Linked DNA regions of Pelodiscus sinensis. The protein of the gene in region 2 interacts with the protein of the main gene of each other region in a pairwise test. Links are inferred from orthologs where the notes say so. Each region holds a gene or a part of one and is shown on either strand. Other genes may lie near its edges. The genes, in order: SH3D19 and SH3YL1.

The links.
Region 1: the proteins of SH3YL1 (region 2) and SH3D19 interact in binary tests that used the Homo sapiens proteins (3 or more experiments, as listed by UniProt). The link is inferred for Pelodiscus sinensis from reciprocal best matches to the Homo sapiens genes SH3YL1 and SH3D19.

The regions. Positions count from the first base shown.
Region 1 is NC_134715.1:54,733,053-54,749,688, forward strand, and holds the start of SH3D19 (SH3 domain-containing protein 19), read right to left. Parts: upstream 7,586-16,636; 5' UTR 7,171-7,585; coding exon 7,080-7,170; intron 6,575-7,079; exon of another isoform or gene 6,559-6,574; intron 1-6,558. UniProt on the Homo sapiens protein: May play a role in regulating A disintegrin and metalloproteases (ADAMs) in the signaling of EGFR-ligand shedding. May be involved in suppression of Ras-induced cellular transformation and Ras-mediated activation of ELK1.
Region 2 is NC_134713.1:35,442,425-35,458,459, reverse strand, and holds the start of SH3YL1 (SH3 domain-containing YSC84-like protein 1), read right to left. Parts: upstream 7,562-16,035; 5' UTR 7,404-7,561; coding exon 7,403-7,403; intron 1-7,402. Other genes in the region: ACP1 (low molecular weight phosphotyrosine protein phosphatase), read left to right, coding at 7,838-7,880, 14,717-14,790, 14,900-15,013.

The DNA.
Region 1 (16,636 bases), on a different chromosome or scaffold from region 2:
TGGGGCCGGGAATGAGGGGCTCAGAATGCAGGTTGCCGCTGGAGAGAGAGGACAACTCCAACTCTCTCTCTCAGCAGCAGCTTGGTGCAGAGGAGAACCACCTGTCCATGGCTGCTGCAACAGACACACCAGGGGAAGGGTGCATATTCACCGACTAGGGGACAGACAGACAAAAACAGGCAAACTCTGAAATATAGGGTAGATAGCTGTCCCTTTCTCCACGCCGGCCAACCCAATGGGGTTATTTAGCTGACTCTCTGGCCCCTTGCTGCCCCGCTGTGGTCATTCTGTAATATCTACTCCTCCTGACAGACTCCCTCCATTTTCATTTTATGAGAAACAATCGAATTCCAGGCACATCCTATTATCCTGGCACAACCAAACCCTGATCTTGCTTTAAATTATAAAAGAGGAAGCTGCATACCAAATTTGGTGGTCCTAGCTCTTATTTTGGAGGCATTCTTTAACAAACAGACTCACAGATGGACAGACAGACACATTTCTAAAAATCACAGTCATAATGACTGATCTGGGTACCCATCCTAAATGGAAGCCTGAGCAAACCTGGTAACAAACATCAAATTACCCACTCAAGGAGCAGGAAGTTGCAAATAGAGAGACTAAGGACAGCACTTTCACTTTCATTATCATATGTCTATTACAATACTCATGTCTTGTTCCCACATTTGTTCTCTGGTTTAGCAGTCTATTAAATGGAAGGATAAACAAAAATAAATCTGAGACTAGAGTTTTTGATTTCAAAAGGGCTAACTTTAGTAAATTAAGGAAATTAGTTAGGGAAGTTGATTGGACTAAAGAAATTATGGATCTTAAAGTGGAGAAGGCCTGGAATTATTTTAAGTTAAAGTTGCAGAAGCTGTCAGAAGCCTGTATCCCTAGAAAAGGGAAAAAATGTATAGGCAGGTGTGTTAGACCAAGCTGGATGAGCAAGCATCTCAGAGAGGTGATTAAGAAAAAGCAGAAAGCATACAAGGAGTGGAAAATGGGAGGGATCAGTAAAGAAAGCTACCTTATTGAGGTTAGAGCATATAGGGATAAAGTGAGAAAGGCTAAAAGTTAGGTAGAGTTGGACCTTGCAAAGGGAATTAAAACCAATAGTAAAAGGTTTTATAGCCATATAAATAGGAAAAAAACAAAAAAAGAAGAAGTAGGACCGCTAATTACTAAGGATGGTGTGGAGGTTAAGGATAATCTAGGAATGGCCCAATATTTGAATAAATACTTTGCTTCAGTCTTTAATGAGACTAATGAAGAGCTTAGGGATAATGGTAACATAACAAATGGGACTAAAGATAAGGAGGTAGATATTACCATATCCGAGGTAAAAGCCAAACTTGAACAGCTTAATGGGAGTAAATCGGGGGGCCCAGATAATCTTCATCCAAGAATAGGAACTGGCACATGAACTTGCAAGTCCATTAGCAAAATTTTTTAATAAATCTCTAAACTCAGGGGTTGTACCATTTGACTGGAGAATTGCTAATATAGTTCCGATTTTTAAGAAAGGGAAAAAAAGCGACCCGGGTAACTATAGGCCTGTTAGTTTGACATTTGTAGTATGTAAGATCCTGGAAAAATTTTTGAAGGAGAAAGTAGTTAGAGACATTGAGGCTAATGGCAATTGGGACAAATTACAACATGGTTTTACAAAAGGTAGATCGTGCCAAACCAACCTGATCTCCTTTTTTGAGAAAGTAACAGATTTTTTAGATAAAGGAAATGCAGTGGATCTAATCTACCTCGACTTCAGTAAGGCATTTGATACAGTACCACATGAGGAATTATTGGTTACATTGGAAAAGATAGGGATTAATATGAAAGTTGAGAGGTGGATAAGCAACTGGTTAAAGGGGAGACTACAGCGGGTCATACTGAAAGGTGAACTGTCAGGTTGAAGGAAGGTTACTAGCGGAGTTCCTCAGGGATCAGTTTTGGGGCCAATTTTATTTAATCTTTTTATTGCTGATCTTGGCACCAAAAGTGGAAGTGTCCTAATAAAATTTGTGGATGACACAAAGTTGGGAGCTATTGCCAATTCAGAAAAGGATTGGGATATCATACAGGAGGATCTGGATGATCTTGTAAATTGGAGTGATAGCAATAGGATGACATTTAATAGTGAGAAGTGTAAGGTTATGCATTTAGGGATTAATAACAAGAATTTTAGTTATAAGTTGGGGACACATCAGTTGGAAGTAACAGAGGAGGAGAAGGACCTCGGAGTCCTGGTTGATTATAGAATGACTATGAGCCGCCATTGTGACATGGCCGTGAAAAAGGCTAATACGATCTTGGGATGTATTAGGCGAGGTATTTCCAGTAGGGATAAGGAGGTGTTAGTGCCATTATACAAGGCATTGGTGAGACCCCATTTGGAATACTGTGTGCAGTTCTGGTCTCCCATGTTTAAGAAGGATGAATTCAAACTGGAACAGGTACAAAGAAGGGCCACTAGGATGATCCGAGGAATGGAAAACCTGTCTTATGAAAGGAGACTCAAGGAGCTTGGCTTGTTTACTTTAACCAAAAGAAGGCTGAGGGGGGACATGATTGCACTCTTTAAATATATTAGAGGGATAAATACCAGGGAGGGAGAGGAATTATTTAAGTTTAATACCAATGTGGACACAAGAACAAATGGATATAAGCTGGCTAGTAGGAAGTTTAGACTTGAGATTAGACGAAGGTTTCTAACCATTAGAGGAGTGAGGTTCTGGAACGGCCTTCCAAGGGAAGTAGTGGGGGCAAAAGATCTATCTGGTTTCAAGATTAAACTAGATGGGTTTATGAAGGGGATGGTTTGATGAGATAACATGATCTTGGTAACTAATTGACCATTCATTATCAGTGTGAAATAGGTCAATGGAGGGATGATAGGAGTTACTATAGAGAACTTTCTGGGTGTCTGGCTGATGAGTCTTGCCCACATGCTCAGGGTTTAGCTGATCGCCATATTTGGGATCGGGAAGGAATTTTCCTCCAGGGTAGATTGGCAGAGGCCCTGGAGGTTTTTCGCCTTCCTCTGTATCATGGGGTACAGATCACAGCTGGAGATTCTCTGCATCTTGGGGTCTTCAAAGTATTTGAAGGCTTCAATATCTGAGATATAGGTGAGAGAATTATTCTAGGAGGGGTGGGTGAGATTTTGTGGCCTGCACTGTGCAGGGGGTCAGACTAGATGATCATAATTGTCCCTTCTGACCTTAAAGTCTGAGTCTATTTAGAAATAACTTTCTCTTGCATAAAACTTTTTTTTTTGCTGATATAAATCTCATAAAGCTTAATCCTGCCACGTACTGAACTGAACACTTTCTGCATGGTGCCAAAAGGACCTCCTTGTCCACCTAATGTTTCAATGAACATCCAAGCAGCTCATAACTGGGCAAGATACGGCCCCATAATTTCAAAAACAGACATAGTTTATTATTCTTAGGACCATTGTACATAAAAATGGGAATGCAGAGTTTTCTCATATAGGATTCATAGTTTCTTTGGTGAAAGAGATGGTTCTTTGTAAATTTCTAGCACTCATTTCAGAGTTGGATCAACCTATCCCACACAAACATACCCCAGCCGTTTTCTTAGTTGTACATTGACACGTGAGATTACATGTTTCTGATGCAATCTTTATTTTGTTCTACTGAACCCAGCTTTTTATCAGGTTCCAAAGCAAGTCACCACAAATTTGTCATAGGAGTGTTTAGAAATAGGGCTGTTCTCAGCTGGATCTAGAGAAAAATATACAAGTTATGAATTTGTTCTGTTGCCTAAAATTGACCAACTGATATGAAGAAATTCTACAAACCTGAGTGTCAAACATCTGAAAAATAATAATAAAAAGAAACAGAGTAAGAAAAATCGTCTAGAAAAGCGATTGGTGCCTGTAACAAGAAACTTATTTGCCACATTTATTGTCAGCCACCCTTGTGCGAATAAAACCATTTTCAGGAGTCCCATGAGAATCTTAAAAACATCAAAAACAACTTAAGTAAAACCTCTCTAATCCACACTGATGATGGCATGATGCATTACAAATAACAGTAATATGTGGTTAAGCAAATGAACAAAACAAGGCCAGTATTAAAAGTCAAACCTTTCCTGTATTACAAAACACCTATAACCAGGGGCAGATGACCATTTTGCAGGGCCCAGGGCAGCCCAATTTCGCGGGGCCCCCCTTTGCCACAGCGCATGCGCGGGGCTTCTTGAAGCACGGGGCCCGGGGCGGCTGCCCTGCTCGCCCTGCCCTATATCCGCCCCTGCCTATAACATTACCAAAATACAGCAGCACAATCATGACAGCTTTTTACTATTAACTGGATAAGCCCAATTACTAGGGTGACCAGATGTCCTGATTTTATAAAGACAGTCTCCAATATTTGGAGTTTTGTCCTATGTAGGTGCCTATTTCTTCCCACCTCCAACCCAATTTTTCACACTCATTATCTGGTTACCTTATCAGTTACTGATTTTCTTGAGTGGTGAGGCTGGCAGCCAGTCAGCTTCAGCCCCACTCTCGAGAAGACCTCTGCCACTCCACACTGCTGAGTGTGGCGGGAGCTGGTCCATGAGGAGAGCCAATTTAAAAACCAGCTCCCTATGTGGACCAGCTGCCTCTTGCCCTGACCTGCTGCCTCTGGTACAGAGGTGGCAACAGTCCCTGACCAGGGGGAGCCTGAGTTCCAACTTGCGCTGGGTCCAGGAGCTGAGCCAGGGTGCCTGCCCACTTGGCTCCTAATACACTTTAAATGCAGAGCTGCAGCAGGGGTAGGTCCTGGACCTGGCACAAGCCAAGACTGAACCAGGCTTCTGGCTAGCCTGCTAACAAATTTACTGATAACGGGGAGGGAGGGAAATGCGTGTAGCCTATAGCATTGACCTAAAAGCTTTTTGCTTATCAGTTAATTGACTACCCTATTACATCTCTAGCTCAGACATTAAATGTTGTAAAGGTTGCACCTCCCTAAACCAGGACTCTCTGGTCCTGCAATATGCGTGGTCCAGCAGGACCACAGATGTCCCTGGACAAGAGAACCCCCCCACCCCCCCAGGGAAGGAGGGCAGAGCTGAAAGCCCTGCACACGGGGAGGCTGGTGGTAGCAGGGCCAGGGCTTTGGCAGCCCGCTAGCAGGGCCACAGTAGCAGGATAGGTAGCCAGGACCAGGTGCTGCTCAGCAGTGGGGCAGGGCTGCATGCCGCCATGCCATCAGTAAGACTGGGGCAGACATTCTGGCAGCGGAGCTGGGGCAGCTGTGTTGCCTAGCTGGCAGCCTGGCCAAAGGAGCTGGAGGCGGGGAGAGGGGGCAGGCTAAGGGGGCCGGTGGCAGGGGCCCTCCCCGGTCTGGCAAATTCCCTCATGCATTAAGTCATTATACTAGAGTAAAATAGGTATAGAACACCACTAAAACAGATGGTAGCAATTTACACTCCTTTTCACTAATTATTAGCAACTATACAAAGTATAGGGCAATAGAGAATCAAATCCTTTATTTTTTCTATTTTTTAAAACACGTTTCATATCTTAGAAGTGAACTCTGGGATCAAATTTAGTTCCAGAATGAGAACACACACAATTTTACAAAATCTAAGATCAACATAAGTGTTTTTCTAGTTAAATATGCATAAATAAATTATTCCTATCACACAAAATGCCAGAGCAAGGTTCTAAAACTGATGTATATAGCTAGCTTTGTCAAATGTAAATTACTAATCAGTTTCTATTGTCAACAATGAGAGAAATGCAGAAAGAAAACAAACACGCTGAAAATTAAAACCTGATTTTAAAAGTTCTTTCAATTTTAATAATAAAGTTAATTGAAACAAAAGGTAGTGGATATTGTATGGACAGAAGCAATAAATAATATATCTGCCTCCTGAAGGACTTGCAAAAGATGCTCATCACAAAAGATCTTTAACTAATGACTGAATTAGAAGCTACGTGGATAATTTATTATTGGGCTGTATTGGTTCCCTTGGCTTATTATATGAAGAAGAAAAAAACTTATCCTTGCCTTCAAGGCTCCATATAAATCTATTGTAGTCTAAACACTGACCCTTTATCTTATCTCATTCTCTTACCCTTCTGTTTCCTCAGACTTCCAAATATGTCTCACTTGGTCTTCTGGCTTTCTCCCCATCACTACCACCTAGATCCTTTTTTTTTTAATCTGAGGAAGTGGGTCTGGCCCACGAAAGCTCATCATCTAATAAACCATCTTGTTAGTCTTTAAAGTGCTACATTGTCCTGCATTTTGCTTCAGCTACCCCAGACTAACACGGCTATATTTCTATCACTATTCACCTAGATCCTGTTTGTCAAGCCCTATTGTCATTCAAATTCCTTCTTAAATCACCTGGTGGTGTAGTTTAGTCCCGTTCCTATATTGGGGCAGACTATTCTGGTATGAACACATTTATACCAGTTATCTAGGTTAGTTAAATCAGTAAAGCTTTTATGTATAGAAAATCTACAACTTATTTCTTCTGTGACGCCTATAAAAGTATTGAGTCCCGTTTCCTGGACTGCGCAGTACCTACCATCTTCCCTGAGACTGCAAGCTCTTCAGGACAGGGGTTGTTTGCCAACATGTAGGCCTACCACCCCAGGCTGGCAGACCCTTGTGCCCTGAGGAGCTTCAGTACAGAACAGGGGCTTGGTGATCCTCAAGGCATTTTAAGGATTAATCAATAGGATTTGCACTTAACCACCCACTGGAAGCTGGACCTTGCACCTTTTCTCTGACTAATGAGCGGGTGCTTTGACTCATCAGGGAGATAAGCGTTCAGTAGAGCCTGTCCAACTAACCCTGCGCTTACATGACTGTACCTTGCCCTGACTCCCCTCCCTCTTCCCCTGACACGGGGGATAAACTCACCATCGCCAGGGAGGGTTTTAAACAAACTCTGAAGGGCGAAAAACCCGCATTTGTTAGTTAAGGCTCAGTCACAGATTAACACAGTTTTGCTCCGTCTGCCCCCCCCCCCCCCGCGCGTGCACTCGCTAGCCTCGGGCCTGAACTCCGGGGGCCGGCGGCTCCCCCGCGCCGCCTCCTGCTTACCTGCTGCAGAGTTCAGGTTACCCCTGCGGTGCCTTCTGCCGAGCTCCCTCCGCTCCTCCTCTTCGTCCTCCAGCCTCCAGGCTTCAGCCATCAGCCAGGGGTCAGGAGCGGGGCATTTACGAAGCCGGCACCCCCATGGGCCAAGCGACGGTGGGGGGAGGAGGAGTTCTTTGTCTCGTGTGGGGAGCAGCGACCGTCCCAGCGCTAGGGCCTCTGCCCCGGCCACCCCACTCTGCACCTGCGGCTCCTCTTCTGCCCCGCGCCTCCCTGCGGTCTCTCTCCTCTTCTCTCCGCCTCTTTCTGCTCAAGTTTAAGCAGAGGCACCCAGGATCCTCTTTGGGCTTTTTCCTCGCCTCCCTTCCCCAGCAGGCGCGGACCGGGGGGAGAGGGAGCCGCGCACGCACTACCTGGCTGGGGAGGGAAAGTTAAAGGATAATAAAGGGAGGCGGCGTTTGCTTTTCCTGCCCATTCACAATATTCCGGTGTCAACAGGAAACTCCGTTGCTGCCCGACACTAAAACAAAAGGAGGAGGGGGAGGTACCTGGAGCAGAAAAGCAGCAATCAGGCCTGCAGAATGCGAAGGAGGCAGCGACCTCTTAGCTGGGCAGGAAGATGGAGTTGCACTTGACAAGGCTGGAAAACTTTTATGTAAGGAAAAGGGACACGAGTTTTTTTTTCTCTTGTGGAGCCAAATTATTTTCAGGGCTGTCTCAAGCTGATACCATTTTGAAGGAGGGAGCGTTCTAAACAGTGCAGCATTGAGTGGGATTTTCAATGTTCCTTCAAGAATGCAGCACATTCTTCCTCACCAGTGGGAAAGACCTTTAAAACTGCTTGAAATAAGCTCAAACAATCGCCACTGTTCAAATGAGACTTGGCTGATTTATGGCTCCAGCCCTATTGTTGAAACAGCATGCTGAGATATACCCAGTACAATCCCACTGAGCTGTGTGTGGCAACCTAGGAGAGGTGTAAATCAGGACAGAAAAAAAAAGAAGACTGGTGCCTGAATATAAAGCAACTGATCTGTTTTAAAGGGTTTGCTGTCTTTGAAAAAAAATTGCACTTTCACATTAAGGTGAATTAAGTAGTAAAGTATGAGCAGTCTGTGGCATCTTAGAGACTAACACATTTATTAGGTCATGAGCTTTCGTGGGTAAATTCATGACATAATACATTTGTTAGTCTTTAAAGTGCCACAGGACTGTTAATTGTTTTTAAAGTTACAGACCAATCCGGCTAGCCTCCTGAGACATTTTAAGTAGCAAAGGTTCTCACTGGGAAAAGTACAAGAAGTTAAAAAACCTACTCTTCTTATTAGTGTGTGTGTGTGTGTGTAACATGTCTCAGGTGGCACATGACCAGCATTTATCATTGAATTTGGTCCACAGGCTGTGAAAAAAGTAAAAGTTGCTTACGTACCAATATGATAGGCACCATATCCAAGAAATGTCCAAGCAATATATTTTTTGGCTTCAGATAATTATAGGCTGAACAAAGTAGTGCTGCCTATAATTAAGGTTACTTGATAGATGGGTTATGTAGTGAAAGAGACAAGATACTGGACCACTGCCTCTGCTTCTTTTGTTGCAGATATGGGTAGGTGTCTATTGAGTAAGGCAGAGAAAGAAAGGATGGTCTTGTGATTAATGACTCACGGAGAACTAGACTCCCTCCCTGTCACTTCCACAGAGTTCCTGTTAGGTATGTTGCGTAGACAACTATATGACTAATAATAAGCCTATGCTTATTGATTAATCTTGTTTACTACACGCTTGTCTCCACCCCCCTTGCTGCCTCAGTATCAGAAGCAGCAAGGTGGAGAGAGAGAGAGCCAGTGCCTGTGAGGAACTGGTTTAAAAGCCGCTTCCATAAACACTGGATCCACCTGCCCCCCCTTACCTCCCCAGTGCTACTCCTGATAGGTTAGAGACGATACCTGCAGGGAGCTGGCTTTCAAACAGGCTCCCCTCATGTGCTGGCTCTGTGGACCTACCAGCCCCCTCCCATACTGCTGACTACAGAGGCAGTGGGGTGGGGCAGGTCATAAAAGCCAGTCCCCCCCAGCACCAGCTCTGTGGTACTGCATGCCCCCCATCCCGGCCCTCCCCCCCTACACACACACGCACACACTGCAGCAACTAGGGAGGGGGCGGAAGAGACGGGAGGTGCCACGAAGCAGCCTCTGTCCTCGAGGGGTCTAAGTTCCTCATGGACAGAGACTGCTGCCACCACGCACTTCTGTCTCTGTATCAGAGACAGCAACGCAGGCCTGCAGACAGACAGTCTGCGAGGGGAGCTGGTTTTTAAACTGGCTCCCTGCACAGACCAGCCCTGCCTGCCACTCCACATTGCTGCCTCTGATACAAAGGCAGCAGCGCAAGGTGGCAGGGAGCTCCCTTGGAGTGGGGTTAGAAGCGCATTGGCTGCCAGCCCTGCCCCTGGGGAATGTTAAATAGTTGTGTAACTGCTAAAATTTCATTTGATTACATGACTATTCAATTATATGATATCTAACATCCCTAGTTCCTGGATGATGCCTGGAAATTACTTTAAAGCAAACCTTTCACAGTTTGTAAAGGAACCATTCAGTGCATAAGATGCACACTACTTTTAGTAGTGTAAGCTGAGAACATGCTCCTTTAGTCGTGGAGATCGGGAGCAATCCCGGATGATTGGAAAAAGGCAAATGTAGTGCCCATCTTCAAAAAAGGGAAGAAGGACGATCCAGGGAACTATAGGCCGGTCAGTCTTACCTCGGTTCCTGGAAAAATCATGGAAGGGATCCTAAAGGAATCCATTTTGAGACACTTGGATGAGAGGAAAGTGATCAGGAATAGTCAGCATGGATTCACAAAGGGCAAGTCATGCCTGACCAATCTGATTAGCTTCTATGATGAGGTAACTGGCTCAGTGGACATGGGAAAGTCAGTGGATGTTATATACCTTGACTTTAGCAAGGCTTTTGATACGGTCTCCCACAATATTCTTGCCAGAAAGTTAAGGGAATGTGGATTGGATAAATGGACAGTAAGATGGATAGAAAGATGGCTAGAAGGCCGGGCCCAGCGGGTAGTGATCAAGGGTTCGATGTCAGGATGGCGGTCGGTTTCTAGTGGAGTGCCCCAAGGTTCGGTTCTAGGGCCGGTTTTGTTCAATATCTTTATTAATGACCTGGATGAGGGGATAGATTGCACCCTCAGCAAGTTTGCAGATGACACTAAGCTGGGGGGAGAGGTAGATACGCTTAAGGGCAGAGATAGGGTCCAGAGTGACTTAGACAAATTGGAGGATTGGGCCACTAGAAATCTCATGAGATTCAACAAAGACAAGTGTAGAGTCCTGCACTTGGGACGGAAGAATCCCAAGCATAGTTACAGGCTGGGAACCTGCAAACTGGTTGCAGTGTTGTTGTAGTGTGTTGGTCTCACGATACAAGAGACAAAGCAGCTGAGGTAGTATTTTTATTAGACCAATTTCTGTTGATGAAATAGACAAGCTGTAAAGCTATACAGAGCTAAAGGAGAACCTGATGAAGCTTTAAAGCTTTAAATATGCACAAACAGTTGATGTATCCTGGTTGCGTTTATAAAATCACTGTATCATAGAGTGCCTCAGTGGACGTGGAATCCACCATTTGCTGCCAGGATATCTCCAGATCAGGGTTGAGGGAGGGTGGGTCATCACCCATTCAAATGGGAGCACCTTGGAACAATGGGTTGGCTGAAGGTGGGAGAACAGGTTTTCTCCAACTTCTCTGCAAGAGATTTTTAAAGAGTGGAATTTCCACAGAAGCAGAACAAAAAGGGGTATTAATATTGTGTCTTAAACTACAGAGCCTGAGAGAGGTAGAAAAAAGATTCACCTGTGGCACAAAGGGACAGCTTTTGGAGAGAGAGGGATATTTTGATAGCAGAATCAGCCAAGGTTAAAGGATGCTGGCTGGGCTCCAGAGTGGGAAGAGATAGAGCAAGAACAAGCACATGCAGACTGATTGATTCATGGGGAAGAGAAGCCTGACTTTGAGGAGTTGAGTCCTGAAGAGGGGAACTGGAGCTTTGAAAAGACACTTTTGTGTTCTCTAATAAAGTAAAGAGTATTTGGTTTTGGAAGTCTTTGCATAGCCTGTGCCTGATTGTTTCCGCTATCATGCATTCCTGAAGAGGTGATTTGCAAGCCAGCCTGCATAAGTGCTACAGTAGCACTGCACTTTAGTGAAGATGCTGGACAACTGTGACCCAGCCTCCTGGGGTAGCTAGATCACTTCCCCCCCCCCCCCCCCGTCTGTCCCCCTCCACTGCAGGAAGTCAGAGCATCCCTATTGCAGCTCTGGAGGTGGGGGTGAAACTTCAGCCCTGATGCACCTGGTAGCACAGCTCAGCACCCACAGCCTCTGAGCAATGACCCCAGCCCTGATGCTGCAGATGGCCAGGTGCACAGTCACCGGTTGGAGTGGTTGCTGCATCCCCAGCACAGGTCTCTGGGCGGCTAGTCCCAGAAAACTGGGTGGCACAGTGTAAGCACCAGGCAGGCAATGTGGCCCCAGCACCAGCCACCCTGATTCCCTGAGGGAGACATGCCAGCCAGTCCCAGCCAGCCTGGGCTGGCCAGGCAGACTTGGGCATCTGTGAAAACCAAATGGGGCCATAGTAGTCTGTCTGGAGAGGCACAGCTTCCCCCAGCTATAGTGAAGATGCTCCTACACCAATGAAAGAACATCTCCTGTTGGTGTTTTTAATCCACTACTACCAGCTCTCCTAGCTATCTTTGAGACACCACCGACTTCCTGAAGAAACTACAGAACATCAGCAATCTTCCTGAAAACACCATCCTGGCCACCATGGATACAGAAGCTCTTTATACCAACATTCCACACGAAAATGGATTACAAGCAATCAGGAACACCATCCCCGATGACCGCATTGTTCTCCTGGTTACTGAGCTCTGCGACTTTGTCCTCACAACCACTTCCGATTCAGAGACAATTTGTATCTTCAAGTCAGCGGCACAGCCATGGGCACCCTCATGGCCCCACAACATGCCAACGTCTTTATGGCTGACCTTGAGCAACGTTTCCTCAGTTCTCGCCCCCTAACACTCTTATTCTACTTACGCTACATTGATGACATCATCATATGGACCCACAGGAGAGAGACCCTTGAAGAATTTCACAGGAATTTCAACAACTTCCACCCCACTATCAACCTCAGCCTGGATAAATCTACAAGAGAAATCCCTTCCTTGACACTTCAGTACAATTAAATTATGGGCAAATTTCCACCACTCTACACCGGAAACCTATTGACCACTACACTTACCTTCATGCCTCTAGCTTCTATCCCAGACACATTTCTCAATCTATGTATACAGCCAAGCCCTAAGATATAATAGGATTTTCTCCAATCCCACAAAGACAAACACCTACATTTAATTTGGCAGTGTTTATGCTCCTTTCTATTTACCTCACTAGGATCTGACTTCCACCAAACAATGGAGGTGCTAATTGTTCTTATCAGCCTCTTGTAACTTGAACAATATATTCACTATCTTTTTTCTCCCTTTTTTTAACTTCTCCCCTGCCCGCCACCCCTTCCCTTATTTATTCTTGGATCTGGACTTTTAATACTCTAATCATCTAAAGAAGTGGGTTGTGCCCATGAAAGCTCATGATACCATCTACATGTTTTGTTAGTTTTTAAGGTGCTACTAGACTATTCGTTGTTTTTTAATTTTTTTCTGTGAGGGCGTTAGCTATGTCAACGGGGGAAGCTTTCCTGTCAACATAGTGCTGTCTATATGGGGATTCGATTGGCGTAACTATTACTCTGGGATGTGAATTTTCACACCCCAGACAGACATAGATCTACAATGTCTAGATATAGGTCTATATGTAGATTTAGTCTGACTGTAGCTGCTCTGGTAAGCCCTCTTCAGAGAAGCAAGATCGTGGCGGGAGAAGTCTGTAAATTGGATTCATCATAACTTTGAACAAGCCTAGAAAATTCTGTTCATATTTCCATTAGAGACCAGGAGCACACATTTATCTTTACCATGTAACAAATGTTGCACATGCACGGCTGTGTAAGAAAAAAGTGTACCATAGTATAATAACTTATTCAAACCTGTATTATTCACCACAACTTACATACTTTAGTCTTCCACAATGTTAAGTGATGAAAGGCCTGTAAGGGCGTGTAACTAGGTAAATATGCCTTAGTACTCTCTGCAGAACAACTATAACTTGTTATCTTTACAACTGTAGGCGCCACTGAGATCTTTTATTTTGATCCCTGTCCCTGGAGATGGTACTTTATACGGCCATACAAAAGTAAGCTGTTCTTCCACTGAAATATTTTTGCTAAAGAACTGCTCATGTGGTCAAATATCAATTCAGGTTTTCACTTTAAAGCAGCTGAAACCTGGAACAAGTGCATCGATATTTGGACAGGATCCAAGTTCCCTGACAACCAGAGAACAACAATAAGTGCTTTTGTAAAAAATGTAAGGAATTAAATATAGTTTTCAACAGGGGAAACATAGCTCCTAGATACTAAAACACATTTCTGTTCTGATCAAAGATATCAAGAATGTTCCCAATAGACTGACACAGAAAATACAAGTAGATAATAGATTGCTGAGAGTGAGGAGCTGATGACTTTACTTCCATTTGTGTTCATTGGGTAGCTGGATCCACTGGATTTTGATGTAGCTGAAAAATGATATACAGCTATCCTTCAGGCCCCCTTGAAATGTCTCCAGTTAAGACTGGTTCCCTTGCATCTTTTTAATCGATTGTGGCTACCTCCACCATCATGACAAGACTCTGAAAGTAGGGGTTTTATAATCCATAGAGTTGCTAAAGTTTAGAAAATTAATTTTCTGAAATAGAGTAATAGTGTTTATACAGTGAAGGAGTTGTGAGAAAGTAGCCTCAAAGTGTAACCACAAACCTTGTACTCAGGGTTCTACAAATGGGGAGTTACATATGATATATTAAAGAAACTAGTGTAATGCAATCTACCCGAAGTCCTACAGCCAAGCAAACAGTGGATGGCAACTTGGAATTCTTCAGTAACCTTTACAGAATGGTTTTTATCAGTTTTGTATTTAGTTCTAGGAGATATGATTGTTTACTGCCTTGCTTTTGACCATCAAGGTTTTAGAATCACAGAATACTAGAACTGGAAGGGATCTCAAGAGATCATCAAATCCAGTCCCCTGGCTTCACGTTAGATGTTTGTCTAACCTGTTTTTAAATATCTCCAATGATAATTCCTCAACCTCCCTAGGGAATTTATTCCAGTGCTTAACCACACTGACAATTTGGAATGTTTTCCTAATGCCCAACCTAAACCTCCCTTGCTGCAATTTAAGCCCATTGCTTCTTGTGCTATCATCACAGGTTTTCCCCCTCCTCCTTGTGACACCCTTTTAGGTACTTAAAAGTTGCTATAATTTCCCCTCTCAGTCTTCTCTTTTCCAAACTAAACTAAGCCAATTTTTTCAGTCTTCCTTCATAGGTCATGTTTTTTAGACCTTTAATCATTTTTGTGGTTCTTCTCTGGATCCTCTCCAGTTTCTCCACATCTTTCCTGAAATGTGGTGCCCAGAACTGGACACAATACTCCAATTAAAGCCTAATCAGAACAGAAGAATCATTTCTCGTGTCTTGCTCACACCACTCCTGTTAATGCATCCCAGAACCATGTTTGCTTCTTTTCCCACAGTGTCACTCTTTTGACTCATACTTAGGTCCACCATGATCCCAAGATCCCTTTTTGCAGTGGTCCTTCCAGGACAGTCATTTCTCATTCTGTATGTGTGATGCATCATAAACTTTCTATTGCCATCTGAGCCAATAAGAAGTTTTCTTAATGCTCCTTTTTCTTTCTCACTAGAAAAAAATGACATATCTATTTAAGTTTTCAGTACACTGAAGGAGGAAGAATTTTCATGTTTATGTGTAGATTAGTTCCAGCTCAATCATTACAGTCCCATGGGCAAATTATTTAAGTTCCCTCAGCCTGCATTTATCAATTTGTAAAATGGCAATAATATGACTTACCTCCCAGGGGCAGTGTGATATTTATAGAATCACAGTGGACTGCACAGTTAAATCTGTAAAATTATGTAATTCTAAACCACATTTTGACCCCTTCTTAAAAATTCACAGACTTGATCTATGCAAAAAGTGAAGTTATTGCAGCTAATCTAACCAGCTGTGGTAAAAAAGAATGGATTTCAACTTATTTAAAATTATTCTAACTCATTTTGTGCAGCTGTGATTTAAAAATGACTTAACCTGAAGATCTTAGAATTGTTTGATACACCAACTTGCAATGAAAGCTGGAGTTTTTCACCTACTCCATGTGGGTAATAAAGCTACTAAAAACATGGTAGAACTTTCCCTTGGGGGTTTCTCTACTGTAGTGTGGTTCCACATACCCCCTCTTAGTCTCCAAAATATGTGGGAAGGAGTTTATTGAACGTGGAGTACAATCAGGATACTCATTTACTCCTCAGACATTCACCTGCCTGAATAGCCTCTTGGTTTATCATCTGTTGAATTTAGAAGGCCTGCTCTAAATAATGTGCTGGATCCACTCCAAGCTTGGTCTAGGATTACAGAACCAGTAAGCTTCAGAGGGGTAGCTGAGTTAGTCTGTAACAGGAAAAATTTAAAAAACAATAAATAGTCTAGTAGCACCTTAAAGACTAACAAAACATGTAGATGGTATCATGAGCTTTCATGGGCAAAACCCACTTCTTAGATGATGGGAGCATAATAAGTCCAGATCCAAGAATAAATAAGGGAGGGGGGGAGGGGAGGAAGAAAAAGAGAGACAGTGATTAGATAGTGCAAGTAGTTTCAAGAGGCTGCTAAGAACCATTAGCACCTTCATTGTGTGGTTGGTTGTTTAAGTCATTGAAAGGTAGAAGATAGTGTGTGAGCTATCCTATATCCCAGTTCAGAGGATTAGAATTAAACTTGTGAATGAAGTTAAGTTCCAGTCCTTCTCTGTGTATTTGGCTTGTAGAATTGGTCTGAAACAAAACAGCGACTTGGAGATCCATTAATGAGTGTCCAGGAAGATTAAAGTGTTCTCCAACAGGTTTTTGTGTATTGCCTTTTCGGATATCTGATTTATGTCCATTAATTCTTTCCCGTAGAGACTATCCAGTTTGGCCAATATACATTGCAGGGGGGCATTGCTGGCATTTGATGGCATAGATCATATTAGTGGATATGCAGTTAAATTAGCTTCTTATTTGGTGGCTTATGTCGTTTGGGTCCACTGATGAAATTGCTGATATAGATGTGCGTGCAGACTTGGCATCGGGGCTGATTGCAGTGGTGTGTTCCTGAGTGATTATGATGGAGGTGTGTTGCGTGGCTACTGGAAAGAATTTGTTTTGCAGCTAGGGGGTTGTCTGTAAGCGAGAATTGGCCTGTCCCCCAAGGCCTCTGAGAGTAAGGGGTCATTTTCTAAGATAGATAGTAGATGTTGATAATGCATTGGTAGGGTTTAAGTTGTGGACTGTAGGTGAAAAGTGG
Region 2 (16,035 bases):
GAAAAGCCGGAAAAGAGCGTCTACACTGGCCCCGATCCAGCTGAGCCAATCAGCTACAGTGCGGGGTTGATACACCCTGTCACAGGGGGACACTTCACCAATTTTGGCAGTGGTCACAGGCCAGCCCTGGAAGGGGTGGGATCTTAGGTGGAAGGGGTGTGCTTGGTGAGCTGAGGTAGCACTCTCCGCGCTACTGCCAGGCGGCAGAAGCCATGGCACTAGGATTGCCAGGTGTCTAGTATTCATCCCGACAGTCCGGTATTTTCACCTCCTGTCCGTTAAAAAAAATTCAGAGAATACCGGACACCGGAGATGTCCGGTATTCTCTGAATTTTTCCCAGGCCAGGAGGCGAATATGCCAGTCACCTGACAACCCTACAAACACTCAACATCTGGCCTCCTCCCCCCCAAACTCCCGGGCCCTAGCCCCCATGCTTACTTGGTTCCCCAAGGCTGCTGGCACAAAATGGCTGCCGGCCAAAAGACCTAGGGGAAGCAATGCTTCCCCTGGGTCTTAGTGCTCCACCGCTCCCCTGTTCCTATCCTTGCACTCACTCTTAAAGGGGACATGCTGTTTTAATGCTGTTTTATTTTATTTTATTTTTTGGCTTAAGTTCTTGGAGTCCTTTCCTCCCCCCCCCCCCCCCCCCTTTTTCTTCCCTTCAACAGAATTTTTTTCCGGTGTTTTTTTTTTTTTGTTTGTTTGTTTGTTTTTTTGGAGGGGGTGGTGTTCGGTATTTTTGTTTCAACCATCTGGCAACCCTACATGGCACCAGCTCTGATACCAAGCTGCTGTGGTCTCAACCAGACTTTCCCTGCCAGGCTGCCATGGCCCCAGCCCAATGCTGCCCAAGTGACCCTGCCCTGCTGCTGGGTGGCACGTAGCCCCTGGTGCACTGTAGTGGCTGTGGCCAGGCTACCTCTGCCAGGTTGCACTGCTGATTGAGCTGCCAGGGCCTCAGTTGAACTGCTGCAGCTCTGCAGCTCTAGCCCCACTACCAGTAGCCCTCCGGGCTCTCAGCTGCTGGGCCTCCTGTCCCAGGGCTCTCTCGTCCAGAAACATCCTTGATCCTTCCAGACTACAGATGCTGCTGGAGCAGAAAGTCCCAGTTAAGGGAGGTACAACCTGTACTTTGCTCACTTAAGGCAGGCAGTTAGCTCATCCAAACAATTCATCACTTGGTAACTTGTTTTCATATTAATGTTCCATCCAATATACTATTAGCTTTGAGAAAACTCTCAGGCAAATCTGACTTTTAACAATTATAATACAGAGGAAAAAAGTATTATGAATATGATTTGGTGATCTCAGCTCCTAGCAGCTTCTGTATTCAAAATAGCTTGAAACAAACCCCTTAATATACCAACTGAATTTTCTCTCATCCTCCTAGGATAATTTCTCTAAATGATAGCTGATAACAGAACAGAGTAAAATGATACCACTGCAGCTGTATGGGGCACTTTTGGGTTTGTTTGGGTTTTTTTAAGAAAAATAATATATGTTTACAGTACATAGAGAAGTTTCAGGTTTAAGCTAATAAGCTATGTGATGCTTCCTTACTTTTAATTAACTAGAATATATGAGATAAACAGTCATTACGTTCCCGAGGAACTAGTGAGTCAGACAGTTTGTATAAGAAGCACTCAGAAGCATCTGTGTAGCTCCACTGAAAGAAATTGAGCTGAGCAAGTGTAACTAAAAACCTTATTTGGCCTGCAGATGATGCTAAAGAAGAATAAAGTCTAACTTTTCTCTAAGGTCCCATGTTGACTTTGCAGCTCTGGCAGTTACAAAAACATGTTTACTTACAAACATAAAATGATTTTCATATGAAACATGCTAACACATATGCCAATCATGACCATGACATTTTTAGACAGAAATTTTCAGAACAGAAGCACAGTTGAAAACAGGCTAAAATATGTTTATATAAATTGGATTTTTAAATATAAATTAAGGATGTTAAAAACTTTTAAACATTAGTTTTAAATTTGACAGCCTACATTAAGATTTAAGCTTAACACAATATATTGAAATGATTAGAATTATATTAAAAATATCAGAGAAGTAGATGTTCACTGCCAAAGTTTATGAGAGATTACTTCCACTACAGAAATTCATAGATTCCAAGGGCAGAGGGGACCATTTTGATCAAGTCTGACCTCCACTTCAATAGATGCCACAGAACTCTCTCAAAATAACTGCTACAACATTTACTTCACAAAAAAATGGTTAATCTTTATTTAAAATAGTCAGTGATGAAGAATCCATTATGGCCCTTGATAACGTTGCTGAATGAAAAAGCTCATAGCTGGGGCACTTATTGCAGGCCGAGGGAGGGTGATGTGGATCCCCAGCGTGGGGAATTCCCAACAGGACCAGTGGCAGCTGGGGATCCACTGTCATTGACAGCAGGGAAGAGTAAAACAGGATGGCAAGCCTGCATCGGGAGGGAACCTCTCCTAGTCTGGCAATCTCTCTCATTTGGGACTGGTCAGATCCTGAGGGTGCCGGAACAGGGATATCCAACCAATATTTTTTAAATCATTTTTACGGTGCAAATATTTATAATAAGTGAGCACTATACACTTTTTGTTCTGCATTGGAATATAAATTAATATATTTGAAGATGCAGAAAAACATAAAAACAGTCGTACTGTGTTGGAACAAAGGTCCATCCGGCTCAGTGTCCTGTCTTCAAACAGTGACCTATGCCAGATGCTCCAAAGGGAGTGGACAGAACAATCATCAAGTGATCCCTCTCCTGTCATCCATTTCCAGACTCTGACAAAAAGTTTAGGAATGCCATTCCTACCCAATCTAATAAGTATTTATGGACCTAACCTCCTTGAATTTACCTAGTTCTTTTTTGAACTCTGATAAAGTCCTGGTCTTCACAACATCCTCTTGCAAGGAGTTCCACAGGCTGACTGTGCACTGTGTGAAGAAAAACTTCCTTTTGTTTGTTTAAAACCTGCTACCTATTAATTTCACTTGGTAACCCCTAGTTCTTACGTTATGGGAACAAATAAATAACTTTTCCTTATTCGCTTTCTCTATAACTGTCATGATTTTATAGACCTTTATCATATTCCTCCCTTAATCTCCTCTTTTTCTAAACTGAAAAGGCTAGTCTTTTTAATCTCTCTTCAAAGGCACCCATTCCAAATCCTAATAATTTTTGTTGCCCTTTTATGACCCTTTTTCAACACCAATATATCTTTTTTGAGATGAGGTGACTACATCTGTATGCAGTATTCAAGATGTGGGTGTACCATGGACTTATAGCAGCAATAAGAGATCCTTTGTCTTATTCTCTATCCCCTTTAATTATTCCTAACATTCTGTTTGCTTTTCTGATTGCTGCTGCACAGAGTGGATGTTTTCAGAGAATTATCCAATCCAAGAGCTCTCTCGAGTGGTTACAGCTAAATTAGTCCCCATCCTTTTGTATGTATAGTTGGGATTGGTTTTTCCAGTGTGCATTCCTTTGCATTTATCAACATTAAAACTCATTTTTCATTTTGTTGCCCAATCACCTAGTTCAGTGACATCATTTTGAAGCTCTTCACAATCTGCTTTGTTAACTTTCTTGAACAGTTTAGGATCATCTGCAAATTTGGCCACCTCACTATTTACCTCTTTCTCCAGATCATTTATTTATAAATATGTTGAATATCCTAGAATATCCATATTAAGAAATACCAATTGGCATTCTATTGTTTAACAGTGTAATTAATTGTAGTTCATTGTGCGAGTTACCTGTGATTAATGGAGAGCCCTAATCTTAACATTTGTTATGTTTGAAAATTGTGAATATTTTTATGATTATTTCATTTTGAAATGAAATATGCATTTGAAATTCAATTAAAAATGCACAAAACCAGCATTGTTCAATTTTATTTTCTTAATTAAAAACTACCTAAAATATGCATGATTAATAAGGGGGGAAATCCTAAATTTATCAAAACTAATTAATGCATTAAATAAAGTAACTATCTGTAGTTAATTAATTGAATTGGGGGGGGGGGGGGGGTTTCATAGACTTGAAAGCCAGTAGAGATAAACAGACTTTCTGTACATTGCCTACTGAATAGCCTGCTGAATAGGCCAAGGAGTCTAGCATGTAAACAAGTCATAAACTCAAACAAAAGCCAATGAAGGTTGTTTCTAGTCAGCACGTCCTTCAAGATTTGAACTCCAGCTAATCTCATCTTCTCACACCTCATTTTTATTCACATATTACAAGAAGAAAAACAAGCTTTTCTTTTTTAACTCCCAATCCATTTTTCAACTTTGAATGAATTAATCATTTAATTTAAATGAATTAGCTGAATAAAGAAGAAAATATAGTCTATTCACCTGCAGAAGAGACTACTGCAGTCAAAAGCAGGTGTTCACCCAAACCTGGTTCCAGGTCCTTAGCCAGTGGTTTCCACTAAAGGTTACAGAACTAGCAGGAAGCATGTTTTTTTTAAAATGTAGTTCAAATTACTTTTTACAGATTATAGTGAATTTAGTCCTTAATATAGGTTGCCACGTTTTCACATTTTAAAGAGGTTTATTTTGAAAAAGAAAAAAATAAATGTTTATCAACCATGACTAAATTTAGGCAACAGAACTAGAAGATGGTAGTGCAGATCAAGATTATTTCAATCAGCCCAATACAGTTATCAAATTAGAGCACATGAAAGTTGCTTTTATCAGGAAGTGCTAAGAGCCAGATTATTTTGATTAAATGGGAGAGGCAACACTTATTCCCCATTTCACTAATATGGTTATCCAATTTCTGGCCAAAATCTCAAAGGATCAAAATGTCAGATCAGAAATTTGGAGCCAGATTTTAAAGGTGCAGTTGTAGTATCTATGTTCTATATTCCAATGAAAACTGAAGACTTGAAATTCAGCAGGCTCCCCTAGAATCCCAGTATAGACTGTGTTTTTTGTAGTAGTGTTGCATTGAGCTGCAATAACATTTTTTGTTTGTAGGTTTTTGATGAAGCATTGGAAAATAAATTTTATATATTTAAGCTGTATAATTTGCAAGATAGGGAACAAAAAAATAGCCAGTTCCACCTTCCAGCAGATCCCAAAGATTAGCTTTTATGGCACACTGATGTCAGGATTTATGGGCTTAGGGGGCTATTGATGCAAGAGGAATACCTAACTTAGGCCTGGTCTACACTACAGAGTTAGATTAATGGAAGCTGTCTTATATTGGCTTATTTCTAAAAATTGCTACACTACAATATTGCTCCTGCTTGTGCAAGTCACCTAGTATACTGACTGAACAACTTCATCTCTGAAAAAGGTGTGACAATTTTGGTCAATATGGTTTTGTCAATGCTGCATTAGCATTGACACTACATTGCTTACATCAGACTGGCAGTTAAAAGACCAGAAGCCCACTGTGCTGAGCTGATACTCAGAGTAGTAGCATTCCAGCTGCCAGGGTCATCACCTGATTGGAATTTAATCAGCGTGGTTGGGCTTTTTTATGGATTTGCCAGTTGCCCAAAAAGTTCTTTAATCTGTGAGGGGTTTTTTTTCCACATAGGTCTAAAGCAACATTTAGTAATAGTCACAATACACTGGGATATCTAAGTTAAAAGCTTCTCTGTCCTGCTAAAGGTGCTGCAGTACTCCTACTTCCACAGCTTAAGAAAACTGTGCTAACATTATCTAAATGCATTCTCTGTAGATGCTGTAAATAACTACTGAGGGGTATGGGTTGCAGCAGCCTTGCCCAGGGAAGGAAGAGGGAAAGATTCCTTCTATCACAAATTGAAAAATAATAACTCTAGCTGGCTGCCTATCCTGGTGGAGCACTCCAGCTGCCAGTGCACTATCATGCCTCACACTGACAGTTAAATTATTGCAAGTGTAAGCAGGGTCTGAATCAATGCTTCCATTACAGCAGGTTGGAACGGGAAAGAAATCCTGGATGTGTTTATGTAAATACAGTTTGCCCCTGATTTGCTTAGATGTGTTAGATATTCAGCTGTTACAATAGTGTTTTGCTCATTGTAACCAGTTTGGTTGTCACAGAGTCACAAACTGTGTTGACACTAAATTCAGGAATTTTGAGATATGATCACCAGTGCTTGCAGTTATTGTAGGAATGCAGAAAAGTCAGTCTGTGTTTAGCTCAGTTCAAAAGGAGAGAGAATGTCAGTGTAAAGAACCTTGGATACACAAGGTCTCACCTGCCAAAGCTTTGTGACCTTATCTGGGGGAAGAGTAGAATGCTCTGAATCGGCAAGCTACATGCCCTCCAGGTGTGAGCTATAAGATGGGTTCAACCTGTTCCCCCCTGCACTCTATTCTAATGATAGAACTAGAGCATATGCCATAAGGAGTCTCTTTATTAGTTTAAAATTACTCTAATGTATGCTGGAATTTCTTGTGGCTGGACTGTACTTTGGGCCAAGAATTGAAATCACTAAATTTGGCCCAGAGCCAAATTCACCACAAGCCAGTGAAAGATGCTGACAAGTGGTTAGCAGAGTGTCGGCAGCACGATGAACAGCCAGCAGAGTGACAATGGAGAAGCAAAAAAGCAGCCAGCAGGACAGCGATGGAGAGATGTAAAGAGCGGCCAGCAGAGCAACAGCAGCAAGGTGAGACAAATGGCCAGCAATGCAGAGAGCAGCTGGATGGTAGTGACTAATGGAGTAAGATGCCTCCTTATCTCCCCCCACTCAGGATGAGAGGCGAACTCTGCAGATGCACCTCTGAACTCTGGGTTTGTCCTGACCAAGGACAGCAATTGTGAGTGGTGTGCAGAGAAGGATTGGGCACATGAAGGGGACATTTACATTGCTGGATTTAACAAGTCAAGAGGAAAAGGACAGTGTCCAACCTACTTGGGGTAGGACTGTTTCTCATGGTTTTGGTTACAAACCATGTGTTTTTCCCAAATTAATGACACACTAGTTCCCTCCCCTTTTATTAAAGGTTTTTTTTCTCCACTCAGACTCTCTGCTTGGAGTGGGGAAGCATTGCCTCTCAGAGGCACCCATAGAGTATTGTGTGAATTTCCCAGGTTACTGAGTGGAGGCTCACACCAGTTTTATGTTGGATGGATGCAGAGGAACCCTTAGATATTGAACCCAGTCCTGGCTGCTGCTGGTGCTACCTGGCAGAAGACTTACACAAGCACTCTTGGTGAGGGTGCACAATACTGACAGAAGGTGCAAGTGCTAACCTGCAAAAACGTTTTAAGTACTGCAATAGCCACAGGTTGATCTAAGTCAACTTAATTTTGAGGTGTAGACTTACACCCAATTTCCACCTCCCCAGTAGGAGTTGGGAAGGTAGGACCCCAAGAACCACGATCCTTTCCCAGCATAGGGCTGGCCCCCTTCCCCGGCCTGAAAGCACAGCAGCCTCCATACTCACTTCTTGGAACACCTTCCAGAGGCTCCTGGCTACAGCTGCACAGTACTGGGAAGAGGCGAGAGGACGCTGCCAGGCCCAAACTATCTCGCAGCCCTGATTGCCTGCTGCAAGGTGAAGGAAGGGCCCCTGGGAGCTGCTCACCTGGGACAGGTGCAGCTGGGAGGGATAGAGGGGTTGTCCATACAAGTGCCTGATGTTTTTACACACGTCAACGCCATGATGGGTTTATTATTCGGGCCCCAGTGGCTTTGCCAGACTGTGCGAGAATATTGTAGTGCCTTTTATTCCCCACCTTCACTTCCTATCAGGCACACACAATAGACGCCGTTAACGTGCGGCGCCGCAAAGCGCGGGGAAGTTTTCGCGACGGTCTGGCAAAGGGAAGAAGCCCGAAGGAAGGACCCTTCTTCTTTTTGGTTCGGCCGGGGGAGGAAGATGGCGGCTGGGGATGTGAAGTCTGTGCTTTTCGTGTGCCTGGGTGAGTGCGGGGCGGCCGCGCAGGGGAGAGAGGGGCCGTTCCGGGGCAGCAGCCGCAGGAAGGGCGGGCTGGGGAGGGGTAAGAGTAGAGCCCGTGCCCTCCCGAGTAGGTTCCCCCCAGCTCCCCAGGAAGCAGATGAAGGTGAGTGACTCAATGGAGGGAGGATAGAGGTGCACCCTGCGTAGCTGAGGAGCCCCCTGCTCCTTTAATACGCAGTTCGAGTCTTTCCTATCCACGTTCCCCTTCCTAGTCTGCTTGCTCACTCCACTCCCAAGGAGCTGTGGTCTGTGCCCAGAGGCCTTGATACAGGGTCATAGTACGTGTAGCCGCAGGCTACATGTTCATGCTTAGTATCTCCCCGATAGAGTTTGCAGCGAAGGTTCTGGTTATGATACTATCGTGTTTTTATGGGTGAGCTATTTAATGGGGCAGAGAATATGCATGTGTGTGTGACACCAGGTTTGGAAGAAAGGCTGTAAACAAACTTCTGAATTTCCTGAAATAAACAAGATAAACATCAGTGAAGAGAAATGAGAAGAATTTCACTTAGAAATAGGGATATTGGATATATATTAGATAGCATGTAATTTGATGCAGTTACATAATTACTGAATTGTAGTGGTTACATGACTATTCAATAGTCCCTGGGAGTGGGGTCAGCCCTAGTAAGCTCCTAGCCCCGCTCCTGGAGAACCTCCTGCCAGGTCCCGCTCCTACATCTATAAAAAGCATCTCCTTGCACAGACTGGCACAGAGCATCCTCTGTCCGCGAGGAGCTTGAATCCACCAGAAACAGAGGCTGCTGCTGCAGAGCAGCCTTTGCAGTGGCAGCAGCGCCGGGGAGGGTGGGGTGAGTTGGTGGGTCTGTGTTGTTGATGCTCGGGGGAGTTGGCTCCTTGCATGTATCAACTCCTGCCTGCCCCCCTCACTCTCCTCTCTGCTGCCTCTCTATCAGAGGCAGCAGCACAAGAGTGGGGATGGCATGCAGATCCTGTGCTCGTGGAGAGACTGCTTAAAAGCCGTCACCCCCCCCTTGCTGCCTCTTATTCAGAGGCAGAATGGTGTAGGGAGGGAGGGATACATGTAGCCAGCAGGTTTAGCTGATAAACCTATGGTTATCGCTTAATCGTGTCGTTGTCTACACACTGACATCATAATATAAGAGTGTGGCAAGCTAAGATGATCCTTGAGAAGGCCAGTCTTCATTTGTTAAATTAGACCTGTTATGAAACCATATCTGCCTTGTATTTATAATGAAAAATTGATATTCATTACACAGCAAATTACAGTTTAATGTCTTCTGTCTACAATTAATTAAACAGCTAATAACCACTAATAGAGCACCTCTAGATTGTAAACTCTCTGGGGCAGGGACATGGCTTGCTCTGTGTGTTTAGCTCAGTGTTAAATAATACTAGAGAAATTTGGGAATGGAGAGAATAAATCATATTAACTATTTTCAGGGAAGGATGAATAAAGTCTGAAAGAACAAGTGATTGATCTGAAATGATTGTAATGAATGTTAACTCCCTTGAATGTTTTCCTTATATTAGTTACCCAAAGAGTTGGAGTCATATGACAACAAAGGCTGAATGATGTGTGGGAGAGCTTATTTTTTGTAATAAATGCTGACCTGTCAGTTTCATTCATTTAAAATATAATTTTAAGACTGAATTGTGCTTTCTTTCTGCCATTGTTGAGTTTTGTGGTGTTTTTCTACAGGTTTTACCTGCCTTAACCAGGACTCTCTGGTCTGGCAACATCCATGGTCTGGCAGGACCAGGGATGTTCCTGGACCAGAGAGCCCAGGTATAGGGAGGTCTGGCCATGGGGGCGGCAACTCACCAGGGAGCCCCATTGGGGAGGGAATGTGTGCAGAGGGGTGGGTGGTGTAGCAGAGACTTCTCCCTGTGGCCAGGAGGTAGTAGGGTTCAGCAGTGGCCGCAGAGCTCTGGCCCCAGCTGCAGCCAGGGAGCTCCAGCCCCGGCTGCAGAGTTTGGGGTCCCACAGTGGCTGTGGAGCTCCAGCCATTGGAGCTTGGGGTCTGGAAATGGCTGTGGAGCTCTGGCCGCAGAGCTTGGGATTCAGCTGTGGCTGCAGAGCTCTGACTGCGGAGCTTAGGTCTGGCTGCAGCAGCTACGGAGTTCCAGCCTGACTAGCCATGGCCAGGCAGGCAGTAGCAGGGCCAGGCAGTAGCCCTAGCTGGGGCGGAGGCAGGCAGCAGAACAGCACAGGCCATGTTGGGAGAGACCTCCCCTGGTATGGAAAATCCCCTCGTTCAACTTGTAGTGGTCTAAAATTTCCTGTGCTCTAAAAATGATCTTGATAGACTATTAACATTAAGTATATGTAATATTTTATTCAAAGAATAAAACTGAGAGTCCAGTCAATTCAAAATTATAAATGTTATTTTTAATCCACACTTTAAATATCTGAAACTTTCAATAATTCAAGTGTTCAGTTGTCTGAGGGGTGAAACAGCCTATCATTTCTGAAGATACTCCTATGCTCTTGAGAGTTAATTCCACAGTGTAAAAGGGTTCAGACAGTCAGATTGTTTTCTTATGCATTTGTTTCGGAAAAAAAAATAATAGTCAAATATTCACTTATCTGCTTTCTGTTTATAACAAGAGAAACTGATATTCATTATGCAGCAAAATATCTAATTAATACATGCCTAATTAGATCATTGCTGATTTTTTTTTCTTCTCAGTGAACTATAAATTAAACATACAACAATGCAAATAACCCAAATACATAAAAGAGAAATTGGGACTGAGAAAAGGAGAACAAGTTGAAGTTTTTATTTAATTTAAGGGTAGACTTTTTAAAAATATATATATATATATATATATTCTTTTTACACTTGTATAGTATCTTTTGTTGTAGGTGCTCATCCATTAATTTTCCTAGTGCCAGTAACTGGCAGATTATACCCTACATGCAGATTGTTAAATTCTGTGTGTCTTGTAGTTGATTTTATCCACAGGCATGCGACAATTTAGAGCTCCTGTGTTCTTTCCCTAACTTTCAGTTGTCTGCTCTATTCTCTAATCCCAGGGTAGGCAATAAGCAGCCCACAGGCTGGACGTGCTTTACCATGTCAGGGTTAACCCTGGCAAACTACATCCAGCCCCCCTGAGTCTCTTGTTGCCTACCCCTGCCTTGCTGTATGTTTAGGAGTAATAAACATTATATTTTACATAGTGATTGAAAAGCCTCAGCCATATGGACAATAGCTTACTAATATAAACTTAGTTCTTTGCTTGATGAAAGCTGTAGAAATAATCACTTTTGTTTTCTGCTTCAGGTAGAAGGGATTAAGGGGACATGTCCTTACTATTAAAAAGTAGTGAAGAAAAAACATACCTTCTGGAGAAAACTGTTATGCAGTCATTTGGTTTCCTCACACATGAAAATATTTTTTTAACCTTTTTATAAAAGCTTTTGCAGCTGTATTAAGTTATGATCACAGAAACTCACATAGCAAGGATGTCAGCCCAGATATGTATTTGAACAGGAGGCCCTGATATACTGCCAAAAGTGTATTTGGTGATGCATTAAATGATACTCTCCTCCAATAAATACTGGAGCAATGACTTGTCTTAATGCCTCTTTACACTAGAGAAATTTGCTCTAGGGTAACTGCATCTAAATCTAAAATGGGGTTTACACAGGTGCAGTTAACTCTGGTAATTTCCAATTAAGTTGCATTGATGTAAACTACCTCTGTAAAATCCTGTTGAATTGGTTAACTGGTTCTATGTAATATGGAAAAGGTTGTAGAGCAGTTTTTAAACTAAGGGCTGGGTAAAAGCCGATGGGTGCGGAGATGCACATGGATTAGACAGAGACATCTCTTAGGGGAAGGTCTATTAATAGAGATTTTCTATGTTCTAGTTAGGAGTGGATGAAAGATGATAAAATATGGGTCAGATCAGATGAGACAATCAAATGAAAAAGAATCTAACACATCAGGAAATGGCAGACAGATAAATTTTTAAAGTGCTTATACACAAATGCTAGAAGTCTAAGTAATAAGATAGGTGAATGCCTCGTTTTAAAGGCGGATATTGATATACAGTAAACTTCCGATAGTCCAGCACCTTTAGGACCCAGGGGGTGCCGGATTATCAGATATGCCGGGCTGAAGAGTCTGGGGTGGTGTGGGGGGGATACCACCACAGACCCCCTCATAGCCCCTCCCCCCCTTCCGATAGTCCGGCTGTGCCTCAGGCATCCCCGATTCAGCCGCTGCTGGTCAGTTTCAGCAGCAGCTGAATCGGGGACGCCTGTGGCAGAGCTGCTCTGCCCAGGGCTTCCTGGAGTCAGCTACTGGTCAGTTTCAGCAGTGGCTGAATGGGGACTGCTGGGTTGCTGCCGGGTTGGTCCCGCAGCCCTGAGGGGCAGCGCTACGGGGCCTATCAGGCAGTACTCCAGCTGCTCTGCCCCCAGCTTCCCCGATTCAGCCGCTGGTCAGTTTCAGCATTGGCTGAAACAGGGAAGCTGGGGGCAGAGTAGCTCCAATGGTCCGGCTGCCCGGAGCACTTCCGGGTTCCTGATGGTGCCGGACCATCAGGAGTGCCGGACCATCAGATGCCAGACCAATGGAGTTTTACTGTAATTGTCATTACGGAAACTTGGAGGAATGAGGACAATCAATGGGACACAGCCCTACTATGATACTAAATATATTGAATGGTTGTGCTGGTGGGGGAGTGGAACTATACGTGAAAGGAAATGTAGAATCAAATGAAGTAAAAATCTTAAATGAGCCAAAATATTTCATAGGATCTCTGTGGATAGTAATTCCATGTTCCAATAATAAGACTATAGCAGTAGGGATATAGTATTGACCACCTGATCAGGAAAGTGATAGTGATTATGAAATGCTAAGGGAGATTAGAGACTATCAAAATGAAAAACTCAATAAAAGTGGGGGATTTCAACTATTCCCATATTGACTGCGTACACATCACCTTAGGACAGGATGGAGAGATGAAAATTTGGTTCTGGAATCCACAAGAGGAGTGGGCAATTCTTGTTTTAGTCCTCTTGTTTTCCCACCACAGGGATGTTACATTTTATTACATTATGGTCACTATTTCCAAGTCCAGGTGTATTTACCTCTTGGACCAGATCCTGCACTTCGCTTAGGACTAAAACAAGAATTGCCCTCTCCTCTTGTGGATTCCAGAACCGGATTTAAAGAACTGGTCCTACTGCCCCAGTAGAAACAGCCTCACCACAGTCCCAGCTGCCCTTCTCCCCACCTGCCCTGCTGCTGCGTGGATAAGTGGGTAGGAAGGGAATTCCCTGGTGAACTCCAGTGGGGGCGGGGGGCTAAATAAAAGCTTGAGGCATGGTCTGGCAATGTGCCACGGCCAGACAGAGAGAAGTTCATGACCAGTTAGCAGACTGGCACCCCTGTCTGGTAAGTCTTGCGGGGCTGGAGCTGCCCCCTGTCCATGGCAGAAAGGGATCTGCTCAAAATGCTGGGTAAGGATGATGATCACTAGTTGATCTTTTACATCCTTAATGTAAACTAATTTTTATAATGATGCTGTGCATGAGTATTAACAGGAACATATTTATGTACTGTAAACAGCGTATGAGGGACATTAAGCTCCTTCATCTGTGAGATTCTGACCAGTTGTAATCCTTGAAAAGAATCCATACACTTTTTAAGAGTTGGTGGATGGCTTATAGATGCTTGTATTTCCCCCTACAGTAACATTACTTTTTTCTTTGTGAAGAGACCACTTCTAGGAATATAGTTCATTCTTCATATGTGCTGTATTCATGATGTCTGCAAAATTTGTATTGAATTTTATTTTATTTGGGCAAGGATGTGATATTCCCAAATATTTTTAGCATTCTACATTGTTTAAGATTGTTTTAAGAGTGAAAAATGCAGCTCAGGTGGACCATGCTGGGGATTAAGATGAATACTTTAAACAAACTTTTACAAATCATCCAGTTAATCGTAGTCAGAAATATATTCTATATGTTGTGAGTGCATCGGAAATACATGGGGATGAGAGTCATATGAAGTCCCTTAGAACAGTGTTTTTCAACCAGTGGTATGAGTACCCTTAGGGGTACTCGAAGTCGGGAGCGTGGGGGAGTATGTCAACACAACTGAAATTTGGAGAAAACTGAATTTTTAAGTTTTACAGCACTGCTTTATTTTTGTACTTTTTACACACAATTTTCATTGCCTGCTCGGCTACAATTAAGTTGTTTAAACAAATGTGTTGCAATGGTAGAAAAAAAATGTTATGTCTGAAAACTGTAGCTACTGGAGGTACTTTTTTCTTTTTTTTAAAAAAAAGGGGGGGATACTTTATATCTTTTTTTAAAAAAGGGCTGAGAAACGCTGCCTTAGAATTTCCAGACTGTTCTGAGTAAAACTATGAAAGACAGAGACAGAAACTTGGTGTTAACATTCATTTGAGACAGAGTTCAAAATTCTACTATTTCAGTTATGGTTACAGAAAGTCTTTCTGGTGGGGGGAGGAGAAGCAATGTAATTACACCATACAGAAGGGGAACAAGATTCGGGATTAAATGCAAGTGATGTCCCGTATGTGGCAGGCTCCATGGTGCAGTTTCTTCACTCCCCTCATGTACTGAGATGGAAATAAACATATTGCTCTAGCAGCATTGTCTTTACTGGCAATGGATTCACCTAGGGGATTTGATAAAATCAACTGTTAAAGAACTATGTGAACTACAATCCTGTCCATGCAGACTTACGCTGGCCAATACTTTACAACCAATGTCTTGCTTCTTTTACTATAGATAAACTTTAGTTCCATCTCTTGTTTTTGCAGGGAACATTTGCCGATCACCCATAGCAGAAGCGGTTTTTAGAAAACTTGTAACTGATGAAAACATTGAAAATAAGGTCAGTCTTTTATTTTTACAGTTGCCAAAATATACTTTCTTCTAACTAGTCAGTATTTATATAAACTGTGTGAAGAAAAACATAAACATTTGAATTTGTTTTTCTGTAGTGGAGAATAGACAGTGCAGCAACATCTACTTATGAAATAGGAAACCCTCCTGATTATCGGGGACAGACTTGCATGAGGAAGCATGGCATTACCATGAATCATATTGCCAGACAGGTAGTGTACTCTTATTTCCTTTAAATGTGTCTCTGTATGTGGTTCTTCTGTTGCAGTGGATGACAGACAGTGGTGCTGTTTCTGACTGGAACGTGGGGCGCTCCCCAGATGCAAGGGCTTTAAGCTGTCTAAGAAATCATGGCATTGAAACAGCTCATAAAGCACGGCAGGTAGAAAAGAGTATATTTTATTTCTTGAGGAAATTAGTAATTTTGTTCAGCGTAATACTCATAACAATCACAACAGCCATTGTTGAGTATATGGCGTGTCAAATTGAATATTAAATATTAGGAGAGATTGACTTTTAACTATTATGTGATATTTTCAAAAGTCATCAGCATTAGCTTTACTTTTCTAGTTGAAGTAAATGGGAGGAAAGTTAGGCCAACAGTTGAGTGACTTGCAACTTTTAAATCAGGGGTGGGGAACCTCAGGCCCCCCTTGGCATTAGTCCACCCTGGCACTCCAGCTGCCCCTCCCCCTGCTTCTCACTTGTGTACTCCCCCCTACTGATTTTTCTGTGGGTCAGTGGCCTCCAACCCAAAAAAGGTTCCCTACCCCTGTTTTAAATATTTAACATTCTTTCTATGAGGCATATTCCTTCTGTTTTGAATAGTTTTACAATGTCTTGTCTTCTGAGTCCCATGCATTTTGGAAGGGTAGCATTTATATTGTACAGGTCTAATGGAGGACCTGGTTTGCACTCAGACCTGGTACTGCTGCTCTTAGGATCAACATTCTTTGAGTTGAGGGAACTTCTACCTCTCACTAAGGCAGGGATGGGCAATAAGTGGCCTACAGGCCAGATACAGTTCACCAGGTTTGTTGTTTGGCAGCCCACCAGGGGCTGTTCTTGGCAAACCTTGTCTGGCCCGCGAGCTGCTTGTTTCCCAACCCTTCATTAAAGAGCTCAGACCCAAGAATGAAAATCATCTTCAAAGGAAACTTACAAATAGATAATCTTCTTAAACGTACGTTGGAGCATTCTTGTCAAGAATCAGAGGTGCATCCTTCACCAAACG